2 linked regions of the Stegostoma tigrinum genome follow. The protein of the gene in region 2 interacts with the protein of the main gene of each other region in a biochemical or structural test. Links are inferred from orthologs where the notes say so. Each region holds a gene or a part of one and is shown on either strand. Other genes may lie near its edges.

Region 1 (15,604 bases), on a different chromosome or scaffold from region 2:
AGTTCTTCTGAAGCTTTAGCTTGTGGCTGCAAGGGGTGTCATCACGTGGAGACATAATTGAAGTCTTGTCAATAGAGACAGTGCATATATTGACAGAGAGAATGTTACACATTTGTTCCTCTTGTTCATTTTACTGTCAATGAATGCTATAGGCCGAAAATGAAAAGAAAATGAACACAGAAAAGTGGAAAGCATGCTAACTCTCTTCACCAACACACTAGATGCATCATGTCAACATGTCAGACTCCCTGCTTTGACGTGAGGCACCATATAAAGGCAGATCTATTGTTGTTACTAATTCACACCACATGATCTGACCTGGTACAAAATTATTTCAGGTTCACGACAGAATTAAACTGACAGTGAAAATCAGGCTGGCTGCAATGCAGAAAGAAAACTATCAGCAGGGAGGTTACACTGCGCTCTGTTCGCGACAAATGACAACACCTTCCGGTCATGAACCATTTCAACACCCCCTCCCACTCCCTGGACAACACGTCCATCCTGGCCTCCTCGATAGTCACGATGATGCTACGCGGAAACTGGAGCAACAACACCTCATATTCCGCCTTGGGAGCCTACAGCCCAACGGTCTTAATATGGACTTTACCACTTTCAAAATCTCCCCACCCTAGACCTCATTCTATGACCGACCTTCCCTCTCATCCGCACCTCCTTGACCTGACACAACCTGTCCATCTTCTCTTCCACTTATGCGCTCTTCCCACCTCACCGACTAATCCCCACCACTCTCTACCAGCACTCACCAACACCATCCCACCTACCTTCCCCAGGCCAAACCCTCCTCTCTTGATTTATTTTGGAGCTCTCTTCCCCTTCCCTATTTCTGAAGAAGGGTCCCGACCTGAAACGTCAGCTTTCCTGCTCCTCTGATGCTGCTTGACCTGCTGTGTTCCTCCAGCTCCACACTGTGTTATCTCAGCAGGGGTACTTTTGTGACACTTCCGTTTAACACTGTATGGAGTGTGAATCCAGTTTAATGCCAAACTTCGCTTATAGAGCATTTAGGGGTCAGTTCCAGCTCTTCTAGACATGTTGTTTATTATCACCTAGTAGGTTCTAACACCTATTTATATAAATTAAGGAACATTGGCTGAGAACTGGATGCATAAATATATGGAAGCAAAGAATAAGTGTTTGGGCCACAGACGTGCCAGGCAATGACCATCTCTAACAAAAGGGAATCTAAACATCAACTTTTGATGTTCAATGGCATCACTATTGCTGATTCTCCCAACATTAACATCATGGGGATTTAGCATTAAATGGAAGCATAACTGGATCTGTCATATAAATATTGGGGCTTCAACACTAGGTCAGTGGCACATATTTGACTTTCTGAATCCCCAGAGCTTGTCCACCATCGGCTAAGCACAAGTTAGGGATGTAATGGAATGTTTCAATCTATCTCTTGGGCAACTCAGGATGGGCAACATACACCGGTGTTGCCAATGATGTACAAATCTCAAGAAAAAATACTTTTAAAACGTTGTTCAGTTTTTCACATAGATAGTCCATAGTCTAATGAACTCAAATTAGTCCCAGTTAAAAAAAATTGAAACTAAAATTTAAAAACTTAGAATATAAAGAGACGTGATTTCTGTGTATCAACATTTAAATTAAGGTGAGAGATAATGGGAACTGCAGATGCTGGAGAATTCCAAGATAATAAAATGTGAGGCTGGATGAACACAGCAGGCCAAGCAGCATCTCAGGAGCACAAAAGCTGACGTTTCGGGCCTAGACCCTTCATCAGAGAGGGGGATGGGGAGAGGGAACTTTATTCCAGTTCCCTCTCCCCATCCCCCTCTCTGATGAAGGGTCTAGGCCCGAAACGTCAGCTTTTGTGCTCCTGAGATGCTGCTTGGCCTGCTGTGTTCATCCAGCCTCACATTTTATTATATTTAAATTAAGGTGAGATAGGTTAGCAGTGTTAAATACAGAGGTTAAAATGCAGGTTGACAGAGTCCACTCATATACTGCCCAGTCAACTTTTATTTTCTTGTTCACATGCCATAAACTCCAAACACACTTATTCTTTGCTCCCATATATTTATGTATCCAGTTCTCACCCAATTGTTTTTTAATTTATATAATTCAACCACTTAATTGTTGAATCACTCATTCTATCTGACGTATGATACATCTGACAGTTTACAAGTGATCCTGTGTTATAACTTCATTAAGGTGTTACCTCATTTTTAAGTATCTATGGTGCTACTCAGGGCATGCTCCCCCGCAGTCTTAATTGAACTAATGTTGATTCTTTGGCTTTATGATAATCTGGACTGAAAAACATGCCAGGAAAAGAGGTTAAAGATTGTGGTTGAATAGATCTCTGCTGCTAATGGCCCACAGTGCCTCATGAATGCTTAGCTTAGAGCTACTAGATCGGCTCCTAGTCAATTCCATTTGACATAGTAGTAGCAACATAGGTACAGGAGCAGGTACTGAGATCATTGATCCTAATGCTGCTGTTGGCTCTGGTCCGCAGCCCCCAACCCAAATACAATAGCTCCTACCTTAACTCAAGCACAGAGTGTCCCCATACAGTCCTGGCCTCTTGTTATTGAGCTCTAATGTGCACTCCTGTCTCATGCCCTGCAGAGGTACATGTAGAATCCTGGATGTGAGTTTGCTCGCTGAGCTGGAAGGTTAGTTTTCAGACGTTTCGTCACCATTCTAGGTAACATCATCAGTGAGCCTCCGACAAAGCGCTGGTGTTATGTCCCGCTTTCTATTTATCTGTTCAGGTTTCCTTGGGTTGGTGATGTGGACAACACACCCATCCTAGGACAAGCCAAACAGAGACACACATGAGAATTCCTAGAAGCATGGCATTCCAACCGGTACTCCATCAACAAACACATTGAGTTGGAGCCAATGTACCATCCGCTGAGAAAAATTACAGCAAATGACATCACCAATGCTGGAAGTGACATCACCAACCCAAGGAAACCTAAACAGATAAATAGAAAGCGGGACATAACACCAGCGCTTCGTTGGAGGCTCACTGATGATGTTACCTAGAATGGTGACGAAACGTCTGAAAACTAACCTTCCAGCTCAGCGAGCAAACTCACATCCAGAACCTCAACCTGAGCTACAAATCTTCTCAAAACTCGCTAACATGTAGAATCCATTAGAACAAGTGTTTGGCAGATCAGCATCGGCAGCTATACTGCATAGAACAGTGACTGGTTTATCTCATTTCATTTACAGCTAAAGTATCAAATATGCTAATGTTTTGTGCACCCACATTCTACCAAGGGCATGTCTAGAAATATCTTCAACTGCTAATGACTTGTCCTGAATACAATATTTGTTCAGAAAATTGTTGACATCCTCATTCAGTTTGAGAATTTATTGTTTGTGACTATAATCTTAAGATCTTACTGCTTTAGAATATTAAGGGCTCTTTCCCTATATAAAAACATGAGAACTAAGAGCAGGAATAGGTAATTCAGCCTTTGGGCCTGCTCCACCGTTCAATACGATCATGGCTGACCTCATCTCAACTCCACTTTCTGCCTACTTTCCATAAGCCTTCAATCCATTATTAAAAATCTCCTCTTTAATTTTACTAAATGTATCAATATGCACCTCACTTTGGGTAGTAAATTTGAGAGATTCATGACCCTTTGAGAAAAGAAATTTCTCTCATCTATGCTTTAAATCTGCTACCCCAAAACCTGGAAATATGACTTCTTGTTCTAAGCTGCCCCACATGGATCGTAGATCATCAATCATAGATCATAGATCATAGAATCTCTATAGTGTGGAAACAGGCCCTTTGGCCCAACAAGTCCACACAGACTCTCTGAAGAAACATACTTTCTAGATCTACTTTGTCAATCCCCTTTAGCATCCTATATACCTCAATCAGATCTCCTCTCATTCTTCTAAACTCCAGAGAATATAGGCCTAAAATACTCAATCTCTCCCTTCTTAAGACAAGCCCCTTATCTCTGGTGTCAATTTAGCAAACCTCCTGTGAGGGGAACAAAATTGTACATAATACTTTAGGTGCAGTCTCACTAATGCCTTGTACAGTTGTTGCAACACTTCCCTACTTTCATACTCAATTTCTTTTGTAATAAGCACCAAAATTCCGTTTGCCTTCCTTATTGCTCGGGGTATATGATTACCAGTTTTCTGCTATTGTTGTGCAAAGACGTCTGGATCCCTCTCCGCCAAAGTACTTTGAAGTTTCTCTCCTTGAAAATGACTATTGAGCCAATCAAAGCTCTGTCCTCTCACCATATCCAATTTAAACTATTAATGTATAACAGTATACACAAAAATATCTGCAGATATTTTAGATACAGAAAATAGATATGGAAAAACCCCTGTACTGAGCTAATAATGTATGCTTGGATCAACAATATGTGCCACCTGATATGAAGGAGAAAATAATATTGATTGTCACTGAATCTATTAGATTTCAGGCCGAATTTACTTTAGTAACAAACATACCCAAACTATTGCTGCAGAAGTGCCAGAAAAGAAAAGGCCAGTTTAAAAGAGTTGTATCATGAAAAATTCACCAAGGTAGATGCTTTTATTTTCCATTTGGGATTTACAGCAGGACAGTTCTGGCAGTGTCACTTTGCATTATTTCTGCCACACCCTTTCAATGTAATTTGGATTATTCAGGAATTAGCAAATGCAAAATGAGGGACCAACCAAAAGATCCATTGTATCAGTGTAAATTGTAATGAAGATTATGCGCCAGGTTAAATCTTTGATTGTAGGGAGAAGGATTAAAAACTGATGTTAACATTAGAGTAAAATAATGTTTTAATTGGGTTCAGTAGAAAACAAAGGGCTAAATATATGAGTGAATTGTAACATAATCTAAATTGAAGGAGACCTCAAGATATAAAGTAGGATATAAAGATATAAAGATGGATAAAGAGCTGAGAGCTAAAGAATGAAGGCAAATTGAGTTCAGGAATAGCTCCAGTCGTAGATGAAGTAACAACAAAACATCTAAAAACCCTTGGAGGAATTAGAAGTGATAACAGAAATCAAATATGTACAAAAATATACATACTAATTGACTTGAGGCATTCATTAGTCATATTACCTAACAAACTTAAAGATTATTTAGTTATCTCATTAAAGCGACCTTAATAACTATAATAAAAAGAAATTTGAAGCAGAGGTTGCTAAAATACAGGCTGGCTTTACACTTGGTGTTGGAACTAGAAAAGGTATTTACTCTAGGAACAATCTTTGCTGGATATTAAGTAAACAAGAATAAACGTGCTTCATAACGTATGAGAAAACATCCAATGGTGATTATCACAAACAGATAATAGAAATGTTTCTGAAATGTAACAAAAACAGTAGAAAGTCTACATTGTAAGCAAATGGAGAGGCATCAGGTGGAAGAGCGACATTCAATTTGCACGCAACAAGCTTTGGGCTGTAGGCTCCCGAGGCGGAATATGAAGTGCCGCTCCTCTGATGCAGCCTGGCCTGCTGTATTCTTCCAGCTCCATACTGTGTTATGCCCTAAACAACAGTGATCATGAAACAAAAACAGAACGTGCTGGAGAAACTCAGCAAGTCTGGCAGCATTTGTGGAGAGAAAGCGGAGTTGACGTTTCCAATTCAATGGCCCTTCTTCAGTGTTAACTCTGTTTCCTCTGCACAGATGCTGCCGGACAAGTTGAGTATCTCCAGCAATTTGTTTTGATTCAGATTTCCAGCATTCGCAATTCTTTGTTTGTTTAGTGTGATAATTATTTGCTTTTAGGTGTTCAGGGAGAACTCCCCTGGTATTCTATGATGAAGTGTCATTGGATCTTTGCCATTCATCTTGGAGTGCAGGCTTGGCCCCATTTTAACAATTAATTCAAAAGAAAAATTAATTCGGTCAGAATTGCACCGAAAATTATCCGCGATTTCATGCTTCAAAATGGGGCTTGAATCCACAGCTGAGAGGCAAGACTGATACCAGTGCACTTAACAGATCGTAAAACCACTGTTTTAAAGTAGCCGTTGATTCATTTCTTTTAAATTGAGTTATTAACAATTCTGGACAGAGAATTTTTAGACACATTAAAGATTTGCTACCACGGGGAAGGTTTCTAACCTATATTCTCGTGTTTGTGTCCATTAGCTCACTCAGTTAGATGTCCCTTGAAAAGTAGTGACCATGGACATGATGATCGGAATGAGATGACCGTTTCTGCCTCCAATTAGACACATAATTTAGGAATGTCTGACGCAGATTCTAGTTCATATTCTAAGATTTCACAAAAACCATTTCCAGATGATTCAGCACACTTTCTACAAGAGACCCCAGTCTTGCATCAACTCCACTCAATGTATTCTCTCTAGGCTCCTTTGCAGTGACTCCGAGGTGCTCCATCTAAATTTGCTAGCTTCTTGATTGATTGGGACTTTCTGCAGTGTAAGGGGCTCTTGTTGAGATGACACAGCCGTAGGCTGACCTTGCTCGGTGATCTTGGGGCCGGTGGGGGCAACGTCAGGCCCACCAACAGAGGTCACGTCTCTCTCTCATTCCTCGTTGAGCTTGAGATGAAGCTGCCTTTTTCTTCCGTTCCATGTGTTCACGGGCCTGAATGCTGAAGCATAGCAACAATACATCGTGACGGGGAGGGTCTGCTACAATTCAGGTAGAAGTTGAACAGGATGGTCCCGCTCACGTTAGAAGCATTTTGGCAATGAACAGATGCAACTTCAATAGATTGAGATTTACTAACAATAAAGCAGTGATTTAAAATCCATACCTACTCTCTGAGGGTCTTAAATTCTATGACCGGAGACGTGGTTTGCATTATTATATAAAATTACCTTGAAGAAATCCATAAAGTGTAAATGTTGGCATGCAGGTATTAATATTAAAGTTAAACACGAGAGAACAGCATATGTTCTGTCTGATGAAGGGTCTAGGCCCGAAACGTCAGATTTTGTGCTCCTGAGATGCTGTTCGGCCTGCTGTGCTCATCCAGCCTCACACTTTGTTATCTAGAACAGCATATGTTGTTTTAATGAAAATGCAATGATATAAGAGGCTGGAAGCAACGATTAAACACGCTGCCATAGAGGCGTACATTATATAAAAATTGCACGTCAAAAGATTGGTTGATATTGGGTCATAATCTCATTGTTCAGTAAACGCACAGCATAATGACGCTCACAACTTCATCAGGCAGTAACATTTTTGTAAAATATGTGTCAGTCGCAGTGAGAATGAAATGAGAGAGCAAGCCCTTTTAGTGCCTTTTGATTGAAGCCAAAAAGAGAAATAAAATTTCCACTCCTTTTGCTGCAGTCAGATGTTTTTGTGAGATATTCAAAGAGCCTCTTTCCCTGAGTAAACCCGACAATGCTTTATTTTGTTAATTGTCATATCGTTAACAGTTTTATTTAATAAAAAGAAGCAGGATCTGACACGTGGTGGTTTAGACAGTGACCAGCCCACCTGCATTTCCAATGTCTCCTTAATCACTGCGCCGCAGAGATCTAAATGTCTGCTCCCCAGCCTGTCCCCTTCTCTATTGACTACAACACTCCTCCAGGGTCCCACCTCCCACCTCACATACTACCGAGCTAGGTGTTAGGCAAACGCCAGGTTGTTTGTATCAAATCGGGAATCGCTTGGGGGCGGTGATTCAGTGTAAATCAGTCTCCTGTCAGTTTTCCTGTTCTCCGTACTGCGGATTTAATTAAAGGCGAGTGTGAATGTTTAAACGCTCATGACTGGAGAACGTGTCTCAATCCGTGAGACAGAGCCTCCTTCATACAAAGTGGTTGGGATTGACACTCTCTCTCCCAAAATCTCTCTTCACCTCCCCTCCCCCACCCAATTCCTCTCCCAAACTCCGTCTTCCTCCCCCATAACTCTCACTGCCTCCCCCAAACTCTGTTCTCGCTCACAACTCTCTGTCCTTCTCCCAATCGTTCTCTCTTTTACCAGTCCCTTCCCCCACAACTTTCCCTACCCCTCCCCCGAACACTACCACCCGCTGGCGGGGAGGGGGCAGAGGGAATGCAAGACTTCAATGAACCTCCTTCGATGCCATTGGATACATATTTTGTAAATATGATGGAGACATGCCTCACATGTGATAGGCAAATGGAGCTATTTGGGATGAAGTTATACTGTCACAGCTCAGGTTTCGTTACCCTGAGCATGAAATATTGGAGTGTTTGTGTGTGTGTTTTCGGGGTAGCTGACCACAGCCTATTCAAAGAATCCAAAGAAACTGACTACATTTTTTATTCTGCTCGCCTCTGTACTTATAAGTTATATTATATGAATTGCTTTGTTATATTCTGAGGTGTGAGAAGGCCTTTCTTTCTGCAGTAGCAGAATGTAGAATTCTAAGGCAACAGAAATATTCTGCAAACAACAGAAACATTGTTCTGATTTGAAGGAATCATTCCCCATACGTCTCGTTTTCTTCGATATTGCTTTACAACATGCGACCATAAAACAATTAGCCCAATGTGCTGACTGATAGAATTGAGGTCCATTTTGGGTACCGCTGCAGTACAGGTATATATATAATGTATGTTGTGTTTTCGTCTCTCATTCATTCGACCCCTGCGAGGCGCTAGAACGGGAAACGTGGGACTCGCTTGCAACAGTTTTAGTGGAAGACGGCTTCAACTCGCAATAGGACCCAGAGAAGCCACGATTTCTCCCGTTGTGGGTCTGGCCAGCCAGAGCGCAGACAACAAAAGCAGGCTTGGATTGTCTTTTTCTTTCTGCATCCACACCCTGTCCACACTGCACACAATTTGGTGAGTTGCTCCTTTGCTGTAAGTAAAAGACAGAGACAAAAAGAAGCAATCTCTATCTATCTCTGTATAGACATACGTGCACTATTGCTGTAGCACTTTGATCGAGTTCGGGTTTGGCATTCTGCAGTAAGATATTTTAGTCGATGTTCATTGAAAAGTGATTTATTTTAGTGTCTCTGCAGTTGATACATGGAGACGATAAGATTTCTCAAATTTTATTCTACAGCTCGAGTTCATTGCTAGATACCTGATGTTTCCTCACCTTTTTAACGAGTCGTTCCATAGTATTTTTTCAGGATTACCGCCTGAGAGTTAACATTTCCCATTCAATCTATTGTTAAATACATATTGCAGATAAGTGTTAATAGACAATAGTGTCTTCCCTTCAAGCAGATCGCTTCACCTTACAAATTTTTTCCATTGATCATGGGATTTTATATAAACGAATTGACAATCCCGTTTGTCAGCAAGCGTTATGTATATTTTCTTAAATTATACGATGTTCAATAAATCGCAATACTGAGTTCTCTTTGTTAAGATGTTCTTGACAGTAACTGATGAGACGGCTTTTAATGATTCATTTATCGCGCCTTTGTTAACAAGTGTTTAGTATGAGCCTTCCGTGTTGTGTATTCAGTTGCCCTTTCTTTACATAGCCGTTTATGAATAATACATTTTATGTGAAAACCGTTATATCAGATACATTGCACAGAGCGAGGAGAAGCCACTCCCCAGAAATTGTTACCTTAAGGCATGGGGTCAGGAGAAAATGTTCCTTGTGTTTCTGATTTCCAGCTGTAACTGGGATTATATATACAAAACGATGACTTTCGTGATTTTATTTTCTCAGATTTGTGTTTTAGTTTCGGTCACCTTTGAGGATCACATCATTCTGCAGGGCTGCAGTGAAAATTAACATTTTGATTTTTCACTTCAATAGAGGGTGTCGCTTTGGGACGCTGTGCTCCCTCCCTCAGGCAGGGTCACTCACAACACTCCCGGATTTAGATCAGCACAGGTCAGCATTTCTGCACTGCCCACCAATTCTCGTCTATAATCCACTTGAGGGAAACAAACAAAAAAACCCCTCTGCTGCACCAGCCTGTCAAGTCCAGATCCCACAACAGCTCATCGCAAGGTGAACCCAGCATCACCACTTTAAATGTCCATGATGTCAATGATCCTGGATCTGGGTAGGAATCACGTAACACGTTTCACTCCAAAACCTGCTCATATGTTACAGAGAAAGATGTTCCATCTATGAGTGTGAGTTGATCATGAAACCATACCCACAACATGGAATTAAAGCATGCCTTTAGAGGGAGATGTAGTTGTTCTGACCATAATTTAAGAGGGTTAGTCCTGTCATCATTCACTGTGAGCTTCATTAATAATGCATAGAAGCAAGGGTGCTGCTTGATTATGATTATACACAGGTCATTAAAGACTCAAGTTTTAATCCACTGGAAGCTTAACCAAGAGAAAGCCAAGTAAACTGCAGAGATCCATATTCAATCTTTGTGCCTTCTTCAATCTCAGCACAACAGCAACAATCCTTGATGTCCCCAACCTTGGGAGGAGAAATATTAACCAGGATTTCCATTCTGACATCACTTGCAAAGTGTGTGTTGGGTGAAGGGAGGCACAGTCGCATTTATTACGCCCCATTGATTTACTAATGTGTAGACATGGGTGAAGGTTGGTCACTCATATGAGGTGTGAGGGAAATTTGTGTTTCAATCTAGCCTTTGGGACAGGGGAAATCATTGATGGAAATTTGACATGACATCAACACTTATTAAATTCTGATATCTAGTCCCAATAACTGTCTGGGAATTCAGTACTATAGATGTGGTTCTGCTAAATTTAAGTTGATGAAAAGAGTATCAGTGCATTTGGTAGATGGATGAGTTTAGAAGAGGCCTGGGCTATCGTCATCATAATGGTATTGCACTAAAATGACATATCTTGCAGGTAAATCAAGTGCATTAGCTTTCCAAATATTGGCTTGATCTACCAGTGCACTAAATTTAATTTTCAGTACCAATTTGGCTCATGTTCCTATTTCTCTGTTACGAGTCGGTGTCTCGAGACCTAAGTGGGTTAGTTAGGATAATACTTCAAATCATTGCTGAGCAAGATCTATATTGTTTGAATTTTACATGATATGCCAAAGTAAGGCTCTGTCAGTCTTTTCAGGTGGATGTAAAGTAAAGAAGCTTTCCTGGTGACCTGGTTAATGCTAATCTCACAACCACCATTACTACATGCAGAATAATAGTCTTTCGTATCAACAACTGTTTTTGGGGCCATTAAAATTGGTGTCATGTTTGCATTCATAACAACAGTGACTGAACTTCAAAAATAATTCATTGTATTATGTATTGAAACGTACATTATGTTTATATAATAAATGACAGTCTGTTCATTAATGTCCTGTCCCAATTTCATGAAACGGCATTCACATGAGAACAAATTAATTTTGGAAGGATTATGGCAGAATGCAGCATAGAGGTAAATGTTGGGAGTTGTGAATATGTATCCTGGGTTAAATGAAAACTGATTTCTACACTTTTAATTAATTGATAAGTGTATTTAAATAATTCTATTTACTGCTTTTTACCTAGTAATTTCAGTAGTGTGAGCACATTAGAGATATAAAGGGGAATGTTTGGAAGTTTCATGCTCAATAATATTAATGGGAAAGCAGTTGGTGTTCATGTGGTCTGTTTACTGGTTAATTATGGCTGTTTAAAATCCCTTGGTGACTGAAAACTGGAGTCACTGCCCCAAAGGGACAAGTCCATCACAAATTAATTTTTCTGATTTCATCTATGTTAAAAACATGTTTTATTTGAACTTTTCTATTTAACCTAACATCAGCCATTAATGGTTAAATCAAGCAGTAGCTCTTCGTCACTAAATGATGTTGTGCAGGCTAAAACTTATTTTTCAAATTAGAACATTTCATAAAATTAAAAGGCTGTTAAGATGTCATTAAATATAAACTCTAAGATGAGAGTATCCAGAAAATAAGTTCTCAGGTTTTTTTTGTTGAACTTTGTGTCTTTTCCTTCATTCATGTGACATGGGCATCACTGGCTGGCCAGCATTTATTGCCTGTCTCTGATTGCCCTTGAGAAGGTGGCAGTGAGCTGCTTTTTTAAACCTCTAAAGTCTAAAAAATTAGGTCGATCCATAATGCCATTCGGGAGGAAATTCCAGGATTTTGACCCAGTGATATTGAAGATATATTTCTAAATCAGGACGGTACTGGTTTGGAGGGGAACATACAGGTAGTGGTCTACTTTGTCTTTCTTAATGGTAATGGTCATAGATTTGGAATGTCATGCCTAAGGACCTTTGGAGAATTTCTGCAGTCCATCTTAGAAATGGTGCATACTGCTGCTACTGAGTTTTGGTGATGGATTGACTGAATGTTTGTGAATGTGATGCTTTGTCCTGGATGATGTCAAGCTTCTTGGGGCTGCAGTCATGCAGACAAGTGGCAAATATTTCATGACACTGCTGACTTCTGCCTTGCCGTGGTGTACAGGTTTTGGAGAGGTGAGTTACTCACTGTAAGATTCCTAGCCTCTGTTGGAAGCAACTCATCTTGACTGAAGATCAGAATGCCCTTTCAACTTAGGAGTTTAATGTTGAGTATAGTACTGTTTGATATGATACAGAGCAAAGTTCCTTCTTGTTCACTAACGATGTGGTTCATTACAAGTCTATTGGTCCACTATAATATTTCTATTTCCAATACCAGTCTCCTGTGATCTTCGAGTGAGAATGCAAACACCTTTATATTCAAGGAATGCAGATGGTTTGGGCAGATGTTGATGCCAATGATTCCTTCACCGACTTTAATACGTATTCCCAGTTATTGAAAAATCTCCAGTTAAATCAGTGCTTTCGTCCAACTATCGAAGGAATATTCTTTGTATTAGGATATATAATGACCAGGGATTTTTCAGATGTTCATGGATGCTTGCTGTGTGTGAGCTTGAGTCTTATGTCTTTTGCAGGTTTGTTTGATCTTCAAATCTGATCAATTAACTGAAGCATGTTCCAAGATAAAGAGCTGGATTTCGGCCATTTTGACGAAAGGGACAAGACACGTTACTCAAAGGGTTCCAGGATGAATGGTTTACCAAGCCCCACACACAGCGCTCATTGCAGTTTCTACCGTACCCGAACCTTGCAGGCCCTTACTACTGAGAAGAAAGCCAAGAAGGTCCGCTTCTACCGTAACGGAGATCGGTATTTCAAGGGCATTGTGTATGCTATATCTGCAGATCGCTTCCGTTCTTTTGACGCCCTGCTGGCAGACCTGACCCGAACCTTGTCTGATAATGTGAACCTCCCACAGGGAGTTCGCATTATCTTTTCCATTGATGGGCTTGGGAAGGTTACCAGCCTTGATGAACTGGAGGAAGGTTAGTAATTGATCATTTTGGTATAATGCCAGAAATAATCTCCCTTGCTCCTTTTAATTTTGTTTTTAGTATAATAGCTCGGATTATATATTACTGCCTAACTATTGTTTGATTGTACAGGGCCACCTTACAGCGTGTAACGATGGGATCGATATGTAGGAGCATTGGGATCATATCATCCGATTTCATTATGTTTAAAGTTTGCATATTTAAATGCGTATGTTGAAGCACAAAGTCTAATTGTCTGACTGACCTGAATTCAAAAGGGAGGATCTTCATTGCGTAGTTGAGCTGTAACAATCTCATTATTCCTTTCAATCCTAATGTTTAAACTCCTATCCCTATTCCCATCCATTCTTTGTACCAGTGTTGAAATTCCTAATTAAAGTGTCAGAAATGACACTGGGTTTCAGATTTAAGTTTGATGTAAATGATCACTATTTTGGAATGATCAGCAATATTTTCATGTAAGTTTCAATATCTGGTGGATTTTGACTATTTATTTCAATGTTTGTTTAAGTATTATCATCTGTTATTATCCTTATTATTGTGTGGTTGTTCATATTATTCATGAGCAGAGCCAGTCTATATGACTTAGTTTTAATTTTGATCTTAGTTGCTCTAATACCAATTTCACGGAAATTTTAAGCATCAAGCTTCAAGGTCTGACACAGCAATAATTGAGCCTCCTTACATATATCTGTCATTGAATAAGGTAGCTGGAAAAAATTAGTCTGCTGGTTGAAATATAGCATATTTCCAAAATGTTAACCTCAGGGAAGAGTACAAACAGTTGTTTTGCTCCACCATGTAGCACAGGGGCAAAATTGTGGATTTTGTATTAAATCACTGTTGTTGGAGGTTCTAAAGAGCAGTTCGTGACATATTGGATGGGTGAGAGTGTTTTAAAGAGGGACAGCTCAATGCTAAAAGTAATCCAACGGCTGGTTTCTCTCCTTTACTTTCTGTTTCCATTGTCAACAGGGCCAGAGTTGATCCAAAGTAGTGAGGATGATTTTCTTGGCTGTCGCTTGTCTGCCACATGGGAATAGAGTTCCTCCAAGAGCAGGGTGTGACCCCAGCATTACATCACTTACATGTCTGGGTGACTAAACGGGCAGTGCACCCCAGCAGCAGCTGTGAGATAATTCCCTGCAACATGCTACTGTGCCCCAGCACATTCCACCCAACGAGAAACTATGTTAGCAAAAATATTAATAGCTCTTATGGCTAAAATTAGTTAGTTCAAACTCTGGGATTTAATAGTTCAACTTACTTTGAAAGGCTTCCTGAGGGTAGACATTTTTGACAGAGGGAGACAAAGTAAATTACAAAACAATTGTATTTTAGTCAAGCCTCTTTATTATGACCAATAAATGGCTGCACCCCAATTTGTCACTTAAGTGGGATCACCCTTAAGAGTGTCCATAATGTATTTGAATTTGATCCTGCCTTTGGGCAATAATGTTACTCTTTCTGCCTCATTTGATTTGGTGCTCCTGCATCAGTCTCCCCATGTAACAAATGTTATTTGTTCAACAGAGTTCGTATGTTAATGGTTGTACGTGCAAGTGATGGAGAAAACTAGAAGTGATAGAAGTCAGTCAATAAAAAGCAAAAAATTGCGGATGCTAGAAGCTGAAACAAAGAAGTAGCTGGAGAAACTCAGCAGGTCTGGCAGCATCTGTGGAGCAAAAGCAGATAAACATTTCGCATCAAGTGACCCTTTGCTTTTGCTTCAGAAGTTAGTTGATCACTGGTAATACCAGTAGCAAACATTAAACTGAATAACTAACCAATTGGATAGTAACGGGCACCTTAGTATTCACATAGTAAATGTAAATCAAGTCATGTGAGTTAATAATCGCTCCGTTAAGATGTGTGGGATATTGGATTCTTAGATTCATAAAATCATCTGTTGATTGAGTGTGGTTTGTTGTTGATTTTGACTTCACATAAAATTTAATAATTGACTGAAATTCATAGCGAGGGCTGAGTCATCAAAAGTTACAGCCTCTGCAGAGACTCAGGCAGTGGACCACATTGTGACATACACACATGATATCATGTTAGATATATTATTGCATTTGGCATGCTTTGTACAGAGTACTGGCCTGAAGCCCACATACCACCCTTTTGCCAAATGTTTGAAAATATCATTTTTTGGTACCATTTTTATATTGGACAGATGTGTATGTTAGTTTTATACAGACAAAAAGTAAAAAGTAAAAATAAGTTTTGAATTTAACTCCAGAACCCATAAGTAGTGTTATTTGGGACCCTATTATTTGCTCATTAATTTCAGGTTACACGTTAGATTTTATATGCATCAAAGTAAAATAATTTATAACAAAGAC
Region 2 (15,317 bases):
ATTTATCTGTATTTGGAAAGGCCACAAATGATTAGGGATAGTTAGAGTGGTTTTGTGCAAGGAAAAACAGTGTCTTACATACTTGCTGAGTTTTTTGAGGAAGTAACCAAAGACGACTGATAAAGGTAGAGAGGTAGACAGTGTTTTCTTGGACTTTAAAGCTTTTGACAAGGGTCCACATGGTGGACTAACTAGTAAAGTACATCATTTAGGATTCAGGGTGGGCTTGCCAACTGACTGAATTAGCCCGAGATAGAGGGTGATGGTGGATTCTTGACTGGAAGCCTGTCACCAGCAGTGTTCCACTGTTATCAGTGCTGGGTCCACTTTTGTCTGTCATTTATAGAAATGCTTTAGATGAGAATACAGGAGGCATGGTTGTTAAGTTTGTGGGCGACACCAAAACTGATGGCATTGAGGGTAGTGAAGAAGGTTATCTGAGATAACAAACAGATCTTAATCAATTGGGTCAACGCATTGTGGAGTGGCAGGTGGAATTTCATTTGGAAGAAAGAGATACCGCATTTTGGTGAAACAAGCAAAGGCAGAACGTTGCCAATTAAAAGTAGGATCTTGGTAGTTTGTAGAACAGACACCTTGGGGTTCAGGTACATAGTTCTTTCGAAAAGGTACACCCAAGGTTTTGGAATAGATCTGTAGCTCGGGTTGTGGGTGTTGAGGTTGGTTGGCTCACTCGCTGAGCTGTGTTGTCCTGCAGACGTTTCGTTACCTTGCTGGGTAACATTCTCAGTGCAGCCTCTGATGAAGCATCGGTGTGTTTTCCTGCCAGGTTTTTAAACTCTGGGGTCCGTTGAGATGGGTTGCCTCACTTCCAGGTTTCCGCCATAGTGGTATGTATATGGGGTCAAGTTCAATGTGTTTATTAATAGCCTGCTTCATGGAGTGCTTCCAAGAATTCTTGCTTGTCTCTGCCTGACCTGTACCAGGATTTTCATGTTGTCCCAGTCAAAGTCGTGGTTCTTCTTGTCCACGTGGATTGAGATGAGTGAGTATTGGTCATGACTTTTTGTAGCCAGTTGGTGTTCATGTAGTCTAGTTGTTAGTTTCCTTCCTGTTTGTCCAATGTAGTGTTTCTCGCAGTCTCTGCAGGGGATTTGCTGTGTTCATCCATCTGGTCCTGTCCATGGTGGGGAGTGGTCTTTAGTTTGGGAGAGCACTTGTCGTAGGGTTGACGTGGGTTTGTGTGCCACTCTGATGCTCAGCAGTCGTAGGAGTCTTGTGGTGAGTTCTGACATGTTCCTGATGTAGGGTAGTGTGATGAGTGTGTCAGAGTGCGTAAAATCTTTCTGATGCTCTTCCTGTAGGCATCTCCTGACCCAGTTCTTTGAACATCCATTATCCTTGAACACTTGGAAAAGGTATTCCTCCTCCTCTTGGCATAGTTCCACGTTGCCGCAGTGTTGTTGTTGCCCTTTTAAATAGCATTCACACACAGCTTTGGGTGTGTGTGCTGGGATGGTTACTGTTGAAGTTCAATACCTGGCCTGTGTGTGGGGCTTTATGACGTACTTTCATTTGCAGCTCCCCATTTGTCTTGTGCTCGACCATGACGTCCAGGAATGGGAGCTGTTTGTTCTTCCCTCCTCTGGTGAATTTTATTCTGGTGAGGGTGTTGGTTGAGTTTGTGTGTGTCTTCTAATTTGGTCCATTAAATGAAAACAAAAAGGTGTCATCTAGGTACTGAATCCACAGTTTAGGTTGGATTTGAGGAAGAGCAGTCCTTTCCACTCTTTGCGTCACTGCTTCTGCTATGAGTCCGGAGATAGGCGATCCCACAGGTGTCCCACTGATTTGCTCGTATGTTTGGCCCTTGTATAGGTACATCACATGCAGACAGGGTGGCTAAGGTGGCATTTCGCATGCTTGCCTTCATTGCTGAGACCTTTGAGTATAGGAATCCGGAAATCATGTTGAGCTCATACAGGCTGTTAACGAGGCCTCTTCAGGAGTACTGTGTGCATTCCTGTCATCTTATTGTAGCAAAGAACAACATTCTGTTCAGGTAGCTGAACAGAGTTCAGAAAAGATTTTCCAGGATGTTACTAGGAATGGAGGGTTTGAACTACAAAGAGATCCTGGATAGATTGGGAATTTCCCTCCCCAATGGAGGTTGAAGGGTGACCTTATACAGGTTTATAAAATTGTAAGGGGTACAGATAAAGTGAATCAAAGGGTCTCTTCCCCAAGAAGGGGGTTTGAGGCTAGGGAGCATATTTCTGAGCTGAGGGGAGAAAGATTTTGAAAAGACATGAGAGGCATTTTTCTCAGTGGTTCATGTGTGGAATGAACTAGGAAGTTGTGGATGCTGGAAGTTACAACATTTAAAAAAAGACATTTCAGTCAGCATATCTGGAAGGATATTGGGCCAAATGCAGGCAAGTGGGACTATCTTAGTTTGGACTGAAGGGTCAGTTTCTGTGCTGTATGGCTGACTATAACGGTGTCTATCCTCCACAATAGAAAATCAAAAATAATGCACTTGAAAAATTTTAACCATGTGTTCAGTTTCTCTCAGACTGACATACTAGAGAAAGAATGATGCGCAACTTAGAATTTGATGATTCTTGAATTTGCAAGCTCAAATTTGCTGCCAATCCCCAGTCCCTGCACACATTCTGAATCAAATTATGATTTGCCTACAAATCAGGCTCACTTGTAGACAATGTGTTACATTTATTGTGTAAACTCAACATTTACGTTCAATATCTTGAAATGCAGTCTTCCAGTACCGTCATTGTCCTACTTTAAGCAAGTGATAGAGGTTAATACAGTAACATGCACTGATCAAAAAACTACAACACAAACTTGAAACGCTTGGATTCCAGTTGTGAAAACAGTGTCACAAGTGAAGAATAGGAAGAATAGCAGTTTTATCAAATACCCAAGATTCTGCAGAGGACAGAAGCAATTTCCTGAAGTTATTCAAGCTTGTAATCAACTGGAGCTTATTTACATACAAACAAAAGCAAAGCCACGAAATCCAAGCTCTCAATATCCTAACTGGGTGTACTTGCAAGATCAGCAATTCAATTTCATTCAACTAAGTTCGGATGCCTTTCACATGTGGTTCTCTCAAAGCAATGGTCACACTATACATAACAACAAATCACCAAAGATCAAGCAAAATACTTTTCAGTCGTAAAGCCTGTTAATTTTCAAATCAGTTGCAAGTTTGCAATAATCAAATTAATAGGCTTTTTCAATTCTGGTAAAATGTTAAGCACCAAAAGAACCACTTCAGTCAAACTCAAAATAAATGTGGACATTTAGGTTGGTTTTCATCAAGGACAGTGAACTACATATGAGAAACAAAATCTCAACAAGCATTCCAGAAAGCTCAAGTTTACATAATCTTAAAATAGAATCAACCATGATGGCATAGCTGGTAAGTGAAACATCAGAACACAATTTAGTTTTGTACATCTCATCACATGAAATCATTGAATTCAAGTCACATCTGGAAGCACCATGCAAAAACATGAAGAGCAGGAGCAGCTCCTGGAGGTTAACTAGCAGCACTGAAACTGCTCCCATCTTACAATTTAAGCTGATGTTTGTTCAAAGTAACTGAAGAAATCATATGAAACATAACGGCAAGAAACTGTTCAAAATGAAGTCCACTGAAATGCTACCAGTATATTGGAATTCTTCATATGCAATGTAATTTCTAATGACACTGTATTCATAAACAGGGCACTATCAGTTCATTTTCAGCTGCGGAGAAATTAGATATATGTTAACATAGTATTACATAGGTAAATTCAAGGTCAGAAGTTTTTTTAAAATATATTAATTCACGGGACATACACCTTGCTGGCTAGGCCAGCATTTATTGGCCATCCCTAACTGACTGTCAACTGCTCTCTGGTCAATCACATTGCTGAGAGTCTGGAATCACATGTAGGCCATACAAAGTAAGGATGGCAGTTTCCTTCACTGAATGACATAAGTGAACCAGACCGGCTTTTCTAACAATCAGCAATGGATTCAACGTCATCAGCAGACTCTTACTTCCAGTTTGTTATTGAATTTAAGTTCTGCCATGGTAGGATTTGAACCCAGGTCCCCAGAACCTAGGTCTCTAGATTAGTAGTCCAACAATAATACCACTAGGCCATTGCCTCCCATAATAACAAAGTTATGGATTGCATTTTGCAAACATGAATGAAGCATAAAAATATTTGCTGATATATTTTCTAAAAAGTATTTAGAGAAACAATATTTTGAATGTTGACAGTACTGATATTTTGGGAGCCTTTCAGAAAGACAATGGCCAGGCTCTCAATGCTAATATTCGGTCTATTAGCTCAGCATCATCCATTTAAAACTAACAGCTAAAAGACTTTCACGGAATCAATAGAAAGTAAAATACAGGTGCCCCTTCCAGGTCACCAGATAGGTAATCCAGAACTCTAGGCTAATATTTGGGAGATGTGGGGTCAAATCCCACCAAGGCAGAGTGGTCATGTCACTCGACTCGCCACCCAGAATCCCAGACTATGCTTAACACCCCTGTGGCGCAGTAGCCATTACCCTACCTCTGGGCCAAAAGCTCCAGGACTGAGCAACACCTTCACCACAGCTGTGACATAACATGTCTGAACAAGGTGACTGAAATAACCGACGAAAAATGTATACTTTGTAAAAAAACACAACGTGTATTCTGAACTGAGATTTTTATGGTTGAACATCATAGCTGAAAACAAAAATAGAATTAGGAATTTCACATCAATCTCCTTGCTTCTGCTCAATTGTCTGCTTCACTTTGAACCACTCAAATTTTCCATGTAGAGAATCAGCACTGCCACTGTTCAAGAATAGATGAAAATAAAATAAAATAAAAAGCTACTACAAACCATGGAAAGCAAACAGTTAATTGCAAATCCTTGCAAACTGCTTACACTGATTTAACAGAAAACTAAAGATAAAAACAAAACAGATCTCTGCAGAAGGTGTTGGATCTCTGAGACCTTTGATCAAAAGTTGTAATGAAAGGTTGCATAGCTGAAACATTAACTCTGCTTTTCTCTCCAAATTGCTTGCCCGACTTGCTGAGTATGTGTCATTTTTCTACCTTTTTTTCAGATTGTCAACGTCCAGAGAACTGTTTCTGTTTTGTTGTAAATGGTTCCCTGAACTACTTGAAATTATCTATCAGCTCTAATTTCTACATTTTCACACTAAGATTTAGAATTTTAAAAAACTGTCTGGATGTCCTGATCATATTTTGTGCAAGCTTACCAAAAGCAAAGGAACATTTGAAGACATTAATATAAAATTTTGGAAACCCATTAGAACCAAAAATCTGAAAATAGATGGGCTCTGGTGGTCGTTACCTCGTGCACATTTCTCACCACTTGACATGTCAACAAAGTCATTATATATTTTCTATTATTTCAAAGAACCACTTCGTTGGGACTCAAACCCCAAACATACTTATTCACTAATTAATGGAAGAATTACCATTGAGCTTCTGCATTTAAAAGACAGTTTGATTGATTTCTCATTTAAGTACAAAAAAGAGTTTGAATAGTTCATCATCCAATCTTAAGTTTCTAATTCAATATGTAAACTTATTCCTGGATTACTTTTCTTTCACTGGCTGTAAACACTAATTTACACCTTAGGTTACTGTACCACATTTCTCAATTTTACAAAGATAATTTCCAGCAAAGCATGATCACAAGCAACTTTCTACAGTCAGTTACAAAAAACACGAAATTAGATCTTGACCCAAGATGTCATACTGATTGGAATATGTCTGTTTAAGTGAAACTTCCTTGCTTCTTACCAAACTGATTGAGTAAAAGTGACCAAATATTTGCAGAAACATGAAATAATGCTGGTACTGTTCCTGGTTAACTGTTATGTTTTTAATATGTAAAGAGCAGCTATGTTGATATCACCAAATATTAATTTGAAAAGCAAGGTTATGCACTATTGTCAAACAATTCAAGATCAGGTTCCAAATTAAAAATGATCCAAAAAGTCCACACATTATAAATCTATGGGCATCCATAAAGTGATGGGTATTCTGAAAACTAGAGCTGACAAAGAAGAAGCAGGTTTAAAAAACGTCGTAATGTTAATCCTGCATCACCAGAAAACAGGATACATGTGGCTCATGGCACTGCACCGATCATGAAAATATTAAACTAATGCCGAAAAAACGGTGATAAACATTGCATTGTTTCTTTTAAAAATCATGAAATCCCAAATTAAAAGTAAAATATAGAAAAATCGGCGATTATATACATTTGTTTTAATATACATATTGATAATAATTGAATAACACCCTGTTTGGGCGTCTCAAGTCAAGATCCACCCTGCGGTAAAAAAAATCTTGTTTCTCCTCACTCCACCCAAACTCATCAGTACTGTTCCTAACCTGTAAGTACACTCATCCATTCTATTACGCACAGTTTAAAAAAAATGAAAATTAAGGGATTAGGGTACGATGTATCCGGGCGTCGGCCACAGCAATAAAGGGAGAAAAATACCAACCTGCATTTTTCGACATAGAAAGGAATTGGGTCAAACTCCAAACAAATACACAAAAAAGAAAATGGATGTCCATTTCTTATGAGGCCACGTCGGCGACTTTATGATGTTTGAGGAACTGCGTCTGAAACATACCCAAAGGTCGTAGAGAAAAAGGTAGCGACGGAGCCGGATCATTTGAAGGTCCCCCGTTTTAATGTTTTACCAACGGCCGGGCGCCATTTTATTACCACACAGCAAGGCAGCGGCCACATAATCTGAAAAGAAGCTTTCCTCGCCTCAGCTTTTTCTCCACCGAACGCTGTATTTAATCAACCTCAGCGATTACAAACCTACACCAACTCACCCTGAAAAGAGTCGCCTTCGACACGGTGGGCTAATAGCGACCATTCAGACGAGAATCCAGAGGTTTCTTTTTACGGCTGTCAAACTGAATTGCAGCTTCCCCCCGCTTCTTCGCTCAAACTGTTTTTTTTCCTCTCTCTCGCCCGGGTCCGTCTCGCTCTCTCTACGCTGTCGTGCGGAGTCTGCGCAGAACAGGCTGCGCACATCAATCCGTCTGTTTCTCTCTGTCGCGTCCTCCTCCACCCCACTTTCTTACTCCTCCTCTTCCGAAGAAGTGACCGGGCACGGCACGCTGTTTTCGCCTTCACGCCTGCGCACTGCACCAGCCTTTCACTCAGGCGCCCGGGATTCGCCCGCTACCTCGCCTCATCGCGCCTGCGTAGTAGAGGGAGCGAGGAAACCGGAGCTTGACTCGAGGGTAAAAAAAATTGGAGTGACGTCACCCGACTGTTGGCGAGCATGCGCCATTCACCAACGATAGCGTCAGCCCAGGCAGACGGGATACGAGTGAGGCTGCGCAGTAGGGCGGTGCCCAGTTTGACAGCCGTTGGGGCGCGCGCGCTTGAGCTAATTTGAATGTGAGTCGTCCTGCGGGGAAAGATACGTTTTTTAAAAAAAAGTCTACTAAATGTTATGCGAAATTTATTTTCGAGTATTACTTGATAGATTTGCATCTGAAGGGATGAAAATGTCTTAAAAGTTCCTTGCTGCATTTCCTGCCCACAACTCTCTCAGGTACATCATTATGTTGCGTCCTTCTAATGTCTGGGATTGCACAAAATGAATTTTGCTTCCAATTTCCATCACTTGCCTATCTCCAACTTCTGGCTTCTATGACAGTTGTTTTCATTTCTATGGATAAACTAATCACAGAAATCCATCACAAACCCACTGACTCCCACAGTTGCCTTCACTATACCCTTAGACTTTGCCTGCTAAAAGGACTCCATTCTATTCCTCTCTGATGAAGGGTCTAGGCCCGAAACGTCAGCTTTTGTGCTCCTGAGATGCTGCTTGGCCTGCTGTGTTCATCCAGCCTCACATTTTATTATCTTGGAATTCTCCAGCACCTGCAGTTCCCATTATCTCTCCATTCCATTCTCCCAGTTTCTCCTTGCATCTGTCTTTATGCCATCTTCTGACAGTGCTGGGATGGCCTCAGACATCCAACTTCTCCTGATCTGTGGTCGACAGTGACCTCAGTCATATCTAACATTTTCTGCTCTTCTCCCTTCACCCCCTCCCTTTTTCTCCTATCCCACAGCAAAGATAGGGTGCCCTCCTGTGCTCACTTTACACCCCACCAGCCTCTGCATTCCACAGATCATAAGCTGCTATTTGTTAATTTTGAGGAGGATGTGACTGCCAGACACCCATGCCCCTCCCTTATCAGCATTCCACAGGGACTGTTCCCCTTTCACTTCCAACACTCTCTATGTGCCCATGGCACCTTCCTATGCAATTGCAGAATGTGTGTAACTCACCCATTTCTCTCCTCCCTTCTCACCATCTATAACCCCAGACAATTTCCAGATGAAGTCGTGCATTTCATTCAATCTGGTACTCTGTATTCACTGCTCATAATATGGTCCCCTCTACAATGGGGAGACAAAGTGCACATTGAGCAGCCACTTTGTGGAACACCTATTCTCCATCGATTAAAATGACCCTGAGCTTCCAAATGCCTACTTCTTTAACACACCACACATTCCCATCCTCCCATTCTGTCTCAGTCCTATTGCAGTACCGCAGAGAAACTCAATGCAAGCTGGACAAACAACACCACACTTTCCACCTATGCACTTTACAGCCCTCCTGACTCAACACTTGAGTTTAACAATTTTTGAATATGAACACCTCCCCAATGTCTCTTATTCACCCCAAACTCCCAGACCCTGTCCTGTATGTGTTGCTCTCCCCATAGCCCACCCTATCCCTGTTTTCATCTCTTCTTCCCTGGCTTATTAACAACAATTCATTTGTCTGCTTCCTGTTTTTCCCTCTTACTGGGCATCTCTGCCCCTCTCTACCCCACCCCTATCACCTCATGATCATAAGTATCAATATTTCCTCACTCCTTTCAGTTCTATTGAAGGCTCACTGGACTCAAAACATGAACTCTGTTTTCTGTCCACAGATGTTACCAGACCTGCTGAGCTATTCCAGCAGTTTCTGTTTTCATTTGTTTCAGACCTGAAGTTCTTAGTGTTTTTGTATGTCCTAAAGATTGTTTGTTTTTGATAATGGTGTGTGGAATGTGATCAAAATTATGACTAAACTGAAAACATCACCACCTTGACCAAAGATGGTATGGTTTATAGGACAGATGAATCAAATTTGCCAGTATCAGCAAATTGGTAAAACAGCTTAATGATTAAAACAAAGAAAATTGTTGGAGTCTATTGATTGGCCAATTCAGTGGAGAAAACCTGCACCATGGCTAATTTCAATTGTTGGTCGGACACTTCTGCATAGTCTTTGATTTTGCTGTTTAGATGCTGACTTTCAATTGGTCAGGACATCCCATATATCTTTACAACAACTAGGTAACTGATGGTCCCAGTTGATACCAAAACCTATTCTTCCTGTTATTGCTCCCAGCCAAACAACACCTTTATTTCCTGTTTTCAAATCCCTCCATTAGCCTTGGCCATCTCCACCTTTATAGCAATCAGGATGGAGTTTAAAAAAGAAGTTTCTTCTAACAACTGTAAACGCCACTGGTGAGATTGTACATGGACCAGTGTTTAATTTTAGTATCTTGAGTAAACAGAGACATAATTACATTGGAAGTAGTTCAAAGAAGGTTCACTGGGTGCATTCCTGGAAGAAGAGGTTGAGTGGGTTGGAACTAATGAACACGAGAGGTGCCAGAAGATGGGAGGCCAGCTAATAGAAAATAGAACACTATGGCACAGTACAGGCCCATCGGCCCTCGATGTTGCGCCGACCTGTGAAACCAATCTGAAGCCCATCTCACCTAAACTACTCCATTATTATCCGTATGTTTAATCAATGACCATTTAAATGCCCTTAAACTTGGCAAGTCTACTACTGTTGCAGGAAGGGCATCCCATGCCCTTACTACTCTGAGTGAAGAACCTACCTTTGACATCTGTACTATATCTATCACCTAATATAGTACCAGAATTCAAGAAGAATGGCCAGGATAAAGTTGTAAGCAAAGTATTCGAAATTATTCTGAGGGACAGAATTAATCTCCATTTCTAGAGGCAAGGGTTAATCAAGGATAGTAGGCATGGGTTTGTCAGGGAAAGTTCGTATCTGATAGGTTTGATTGAGGTTTTTCGAGGAGGTGACCAGAATGTGTGGATGTATTCTATTTAGACTTTGGTAAGGCTTTTGACAAGACCTCACATAGAAGACTGGTCAAAAGGTTCATAGGATCCAGAACAATTTGGCAAATTGGATCTAAAATTGGCTTAGTGGCAGGATATAGAGGATAACAGTAGACTGTTTTTGTGTCTGGTAGCCTGTGTCTATTGGCATAGTGAAGTGTTCAGTGTTGGGTTCCTTGCTGCTTGTAGTGTATGTTTACGATCTAGATCAAAATGCAGGAGGTTTGATGAGTTCACAGGTGACTTGAAAATTCATCAGCTAAATAGTAAGGAATCTTAGACTACAATATAGGCAGGCTCGTCAGGTGAGCAGAACATTTGCTAATGGAATTTAATCCTGTAAAGTGTGAGGTGATTCATTTTGGCATGACAAAAAAGACAAGGGAGTACACAATGAATTGAAGGACCCTAAGAAGTACAAAGAACCAGAGCAACATTGGTAATAAATACTCACAGATACTTGAAAGCAACAGTATAGGTGGATAAGGTGGTTAAGAAGACATGGATACTTGCCTTTATTACTTGAGGCATTGAATACATGACAAGGGAGGTTATTTTGGAATAAAACAAAGAATTTCCCAAGCTGAATATCTGAAAATTTAGAAATTGCTGGAGAAGCTCAGCAGATCAGAAACATCTAGTCCAGTGATCCTTCTATATAAGACATTAATTAGGTCACAGCTAGGAGTACTGTGACACTGCAGTTGCCACATTATAGGATGAATGTGATTGTACGAGTAAGGATGCAAAGGAGATTCACCATGAAGTTGCTTGAGAGTTTCAGCAATCCAGAGAGACGAGATAGACTGGGCTTGTTTTTCTCTCAGTAGAGAAGACTGAGAAGCAGACCCGATTGATCTCACTATTTCTCTTTTCTCTTTTAAGGGACTGCTCAAAATGTATCTCTGAACAACCTTTTCTAATTCGCTCTGATATCTAGTTTTGTCAATTCTGAGCAATACTTGGTGGAGTGGGTGGGGTGAGGTGGAGAGAAATTGTGTACAGTAGATAGCATCTCTGCCACTGACACACAAGCTCTAGGTTTATGCCTTTCAGTTCAGACTTCATGGCCAAGGAAGGTTTATTCGTAGGGCAGGCAAACAGTTCACGTATCATCCTGGAAATCTTTCCAAAACAACGATGTCAGATGATAAGAGTGGGAGAGATTCTCGGTGAACAATGCAATTGAAATAAATGGGAGTCTGTACTGTCACTGTCAAATATTTCAGACAATAACGTGCATGTAAAAGTGCATCTTGCCAAAGCAGCCCAGATGCTGAGTGAACAAAAATATTCCACCATTTCAGTATTTGCAACATGTTCACAAATTAAAGGTATGAATGTAAATCTAAGTTGTAGGATGGGCATTGAAGAACTGGAGGTGCTTTTGGAACTAAGGAGGGTCAAAGAGGGCCATGAATACATTTAAAAATTCGTTGGAATTCATTGGAAACCTGAAGCTTTGGAGAGCTGGCTTGTGTGTTTCTAATAACAGGAGTAATGAGTGAGAAGTCTTGATGGGGGATGCAGTATAAAGACCAAAATTCTGTATCCATGCGCATGAGAAAACGCCTTGTCACGACCATTCAGTAAATTTCAATCAAATCACCTCTCACTTTTCATAAACCCAGTGAAAACAAACCCAGCCCATCTAATCTTTCCTTATGAGACAGCCAGCTCATTCCAGATATCAATTTAGTATCTCCTTTGAATTACCTCCAATACATTTACATTCAACCTTAAATATATAATGTTATGTTACCATAGTCCCAGAGGACCATAGGGCTTCTCTCATAAGAGAGAGACAACTGATGGTGGTTTAACCTGAGAGTTATCACACTTCCGGTGGGGGCCAAGATCGAGAAGGTGGAACCTTCATGATGGCCTCAGCTGGAATGGAAATTGAACCTGTGCTGTTGGCATTACTCTGTATTACATACCAGCCACCCAGTCACCTCTGCTAACCTAACCAATCCCTCTCAACCTTTGAGTAAGGCAACCGAAACTGCATAAAATATTTGAGAAGTTGTTTCATCTATGATATGTATAAACGAAACATAACCTCCTTACTTTTCGGTTCCACTTGTAGTGAAGGATTGCGGCCCATTAACCTTCTTAATTACTATCTGTATCTGCGTACTATCTTTTTGTGATTCATGTACTGGAACATTGAGATCCCTTTGTACCCAAGGTTCTGCACTTGTTCTGTGTTTAAATAGGGCTTTTTTTTTAGTCCTTCCAACCAAAATGAACAACTTTACAATTTCCCACAATGTACACCATCAGCCATAATTTTGCCCCGTCACTAAACCTATCTATATTTGTTAGCAACCTCCTTGTGTCCTCTGCACAGCACACTTTGCTGCCTATCATCTATAATCTACTTAAAAAGCAGGACAAGCCTAAAGGGTTGCAGTTCAGTTCATCAGACTAGGACCTATTCCTGGCTTGTATGTTGATCAGCAGAAAGCACTCTTCTGCATGAAATTATCCATAAAATGTCAATACAATTGATAAATGAATCATTCATAATACCCCAGGTGTGTCTCACCAAAGCCCTGTACAATGCATCTAAATTTCCTTAGTTACCTCATCCAAGTGTGATTGCTTGGTTTAAAACTGGAAAATGCTAATTCTGAATTGTTATCGGAAGTGAGATTTCATCTAAGTGACTTCAGAGATCAAAGCTATTGCTTATTGTGGTCAGCAAATTTTCCTTGGATACTGAAGAATTTCATGCATTCACATAAAAATCTCTCATCTTCAAAAGAAATTGAGTGATCCTCGTAATTTTGTTTTGAGTTGTATTGACTAATGATTGATTTGTGGTTACACAGTATAGGTGTTACATAGAAATAACTTGTGACGCAGGAGGAGGTCATTCGGTCTATTATGTCTCTACAGTTAAAAAGAAGGGCGGTATGGTGGTTCAGTGATTTAGCACTGCTGCTTCACAGTGTCAGGGACCCAGGTTCAACTCTTCAACATTTCTGGTACATTATTCGTCTGTATGGAATTTGCACATTCACCCTGTGTCTGTGTGGGTTTCCTCCAGACACTCAGGTTTCTTTCCATAGTCCCAAGATGTGCAGTTAGGTGGATTAGCCATGCTAAAATTGCCCCTCGTGTCCAGGGATGTGCAGGCTGTGTGGATTATCCAGGGGAAATGCATGGTTACAGGCATAGCGTTGGTGTGGACTCGAAGGGCTGAATGGCCTGCTTCCACTTTGTGGGGATTCTACGATTCAATGTGAGATCCAGGTCTGGATCCTGAGCCGTGACACATATAGAACATCAAAGGTACGTGCAGGTTTTTTTTTCACTGCCCTCTGAAGCTGAGAGTTCTAGATCCCCTGACACTCCCTGGGTTAAAAACAAAGTGTCTGCTCAATTTGCCTTGAACAGTTCTGTCAATTACTTAAACTTCTGACCCATGATTATTGACCTCTCTGTAAAATGTGGTAAAGAAAATAGACAACAGACCCAGTAGCTATTTTCAAGTATTTTTCATTATCTTCACTTCTCCCCACACTCTGGTCCCTTCCTTGACTTGAATATTAAATTTGTTGGGATATGATTTCATCCTGAGGGTCCTTTCAGTATTGGCAACCAACTAGGATTAGGTGTGGATAAGTGTACTTTCTTCTGATAGTCCTAGACTATTATGTCATGAGAAAGGAATAATTGACAATCTAGTTCTGACAGGCTCTTTGCGCAATCATAATATTATAGAATTCATCATCAGTGATGTAGTTGAGTCTGAGACTAGTGTCTTGAATGTACAGGAAACTATGATCGTGTGACACTTGAGTTGTCAATGATTGGGGAATGTTACTTAAAGAGATAACAGTGGAAAGATGATAGCAAATATTCAAAGAGTGCATGAGTGAATTGCAACATTGTACAATCCTGTCTAGTGCAAAAGTAAAAGGAAAGGTGGCAAAATGTTGGTTTACAAGAGAAATTAAAGATAGCATTCAATCCAGGGAAGGGTCAAACAAATTGTTCAAAAACAACACAGACCTGAGGAATGGGAGTAGCTTAGAATTCAGCAAAGGTGCACAAAGGGATTGATTAAGAAAGGGAAAATAGAATATGGGAGTAAGTTTGCAGGGAAAATAAAAATTGATTGTAAAAGTTTCTATAGTTTTGTGAACAGAAAAAGATTAGTGAAGACAAATGCAAGTTCTTTACAGTCAGAAACAGGTGAATGTATAATGGGGAACAAAGAAGTGGCTGACCAACTAAAGAGAAAGTCAGAACTGAAGAAGGGTCCCGACCCGAAAAGTCAGCTTTCCTGCTCCTCTGATGCTGCCTGGCTTGCTGTGTGCCTCCAGCTGCACACTGTGTTATTGCTGACCAACTAAATATATGTTTTAATTTTGTATTCATAAAGGAGAATGCAAATAACATCCCAGAAATGTTGAAGAACACATTTTAATGAGAGGGAGGAAGTAAGTATCATTAGGGAAATAGTATTGGGACTGAAGTCGATAAATCTCCAGGGCTTGATGATCACTTCCCTGCGTACTTAAAGAAATGGTCCTAGAAATAGTGAGTGCATTGGTGATCATCTTCCAATACTGAATGGACTCTGAAAGGTTCCTACAGATTGGGCCTAAGTTAATATTTATCCCTGTATTTTAAAAGGGAAGTAAAGATAAAACTGGGAATTATAGACTACTCAGCCTGATGTTGGCTGTGGGGAAAACTGCTAGAGTCCATGCTAAAAGATTTAATAGCAGATCATTGAGAAAACAGTTGCAGGGTCAGACAGTCAGCATGGATTTAAGAAAGGGAAATCATGCTTGGGAAATCTGCTGGAATTCTTTGAGGATGGAACTGGTAGAGTTGATGAGGGGGATCCAGTGGATGTGGTTTACTTGGACTTTGAGAAGGCTTTTGACAAAGTCCTACATAAGAGATTAGCATATAAAACAAAAGTGCATGGGTCTGGAGGTGGTGTATTGAAATGGGTAGATAATTGTTTGGTAGACAGGAAACAACAAGTAAGAATACATGGCAGGCAATAACTAGTGAGGTATCACAGGAATCAGTGCTAGGACCCAGATATTCCTATTAATGATTTAG

The links.
Region 1: the proteins of platelet-activating factor acetylhydrolase IB subunit beta (region 2) and neuronal migration protein doublecortin-like form a complex in vitro, tested with the Homo sapiens proteins (2 studies listed by BioGRID). The link is inferred for Stegostoma tigrinum from reciprocal best matches to the Homo sapiens genes PAFAH1B1 and DCX.

What each region holds. Positions count from the first base shown.
Region 1 is NC_081368.1:24,967,844-24,983,447, reverse strand, and holds the start of neuronal migration protein doublecortin-like, read left to right. Parts: upstream 1-8,467; 5' UTR 8,468-8,805; exon of another isoform or gene 8,806-8,823; intron 8,824-12,836; 5' UTR 12,837-12,874; coding exon 12,875-13,247; intron 13,248-15,604. UniProt on the Homo sapiens protein: Microtubule-associated protein required for initial steps of neuronal dispersion and cortex lamination during cerebral cortex development. May act by competing with the putative neuronal protein kinase DCLK1 in binding to a target protein.
Region 2 is NC_081380.1:36,239,566-36,254,882, forward strand, and holds the start of platelet-activating factor acetylhydrolase IB subunit beta, read right to left. Parts: upstream 7,136-15,317; 5' UTR 6,913-7,135; coding exon 6,869-6,912; intron 1-6,868. UniProt on the Homo sapiens protein: Regulatory subunit (beta subunit) of the cytosolic type I platelet-activating factor (PAF) acetylhydrolase (PAF-AH (I)), an enzyme that catalyzes the hydrolyze of the acetyl group at the sn-2 position of PAF and its analogs and participates in PAF inactivation.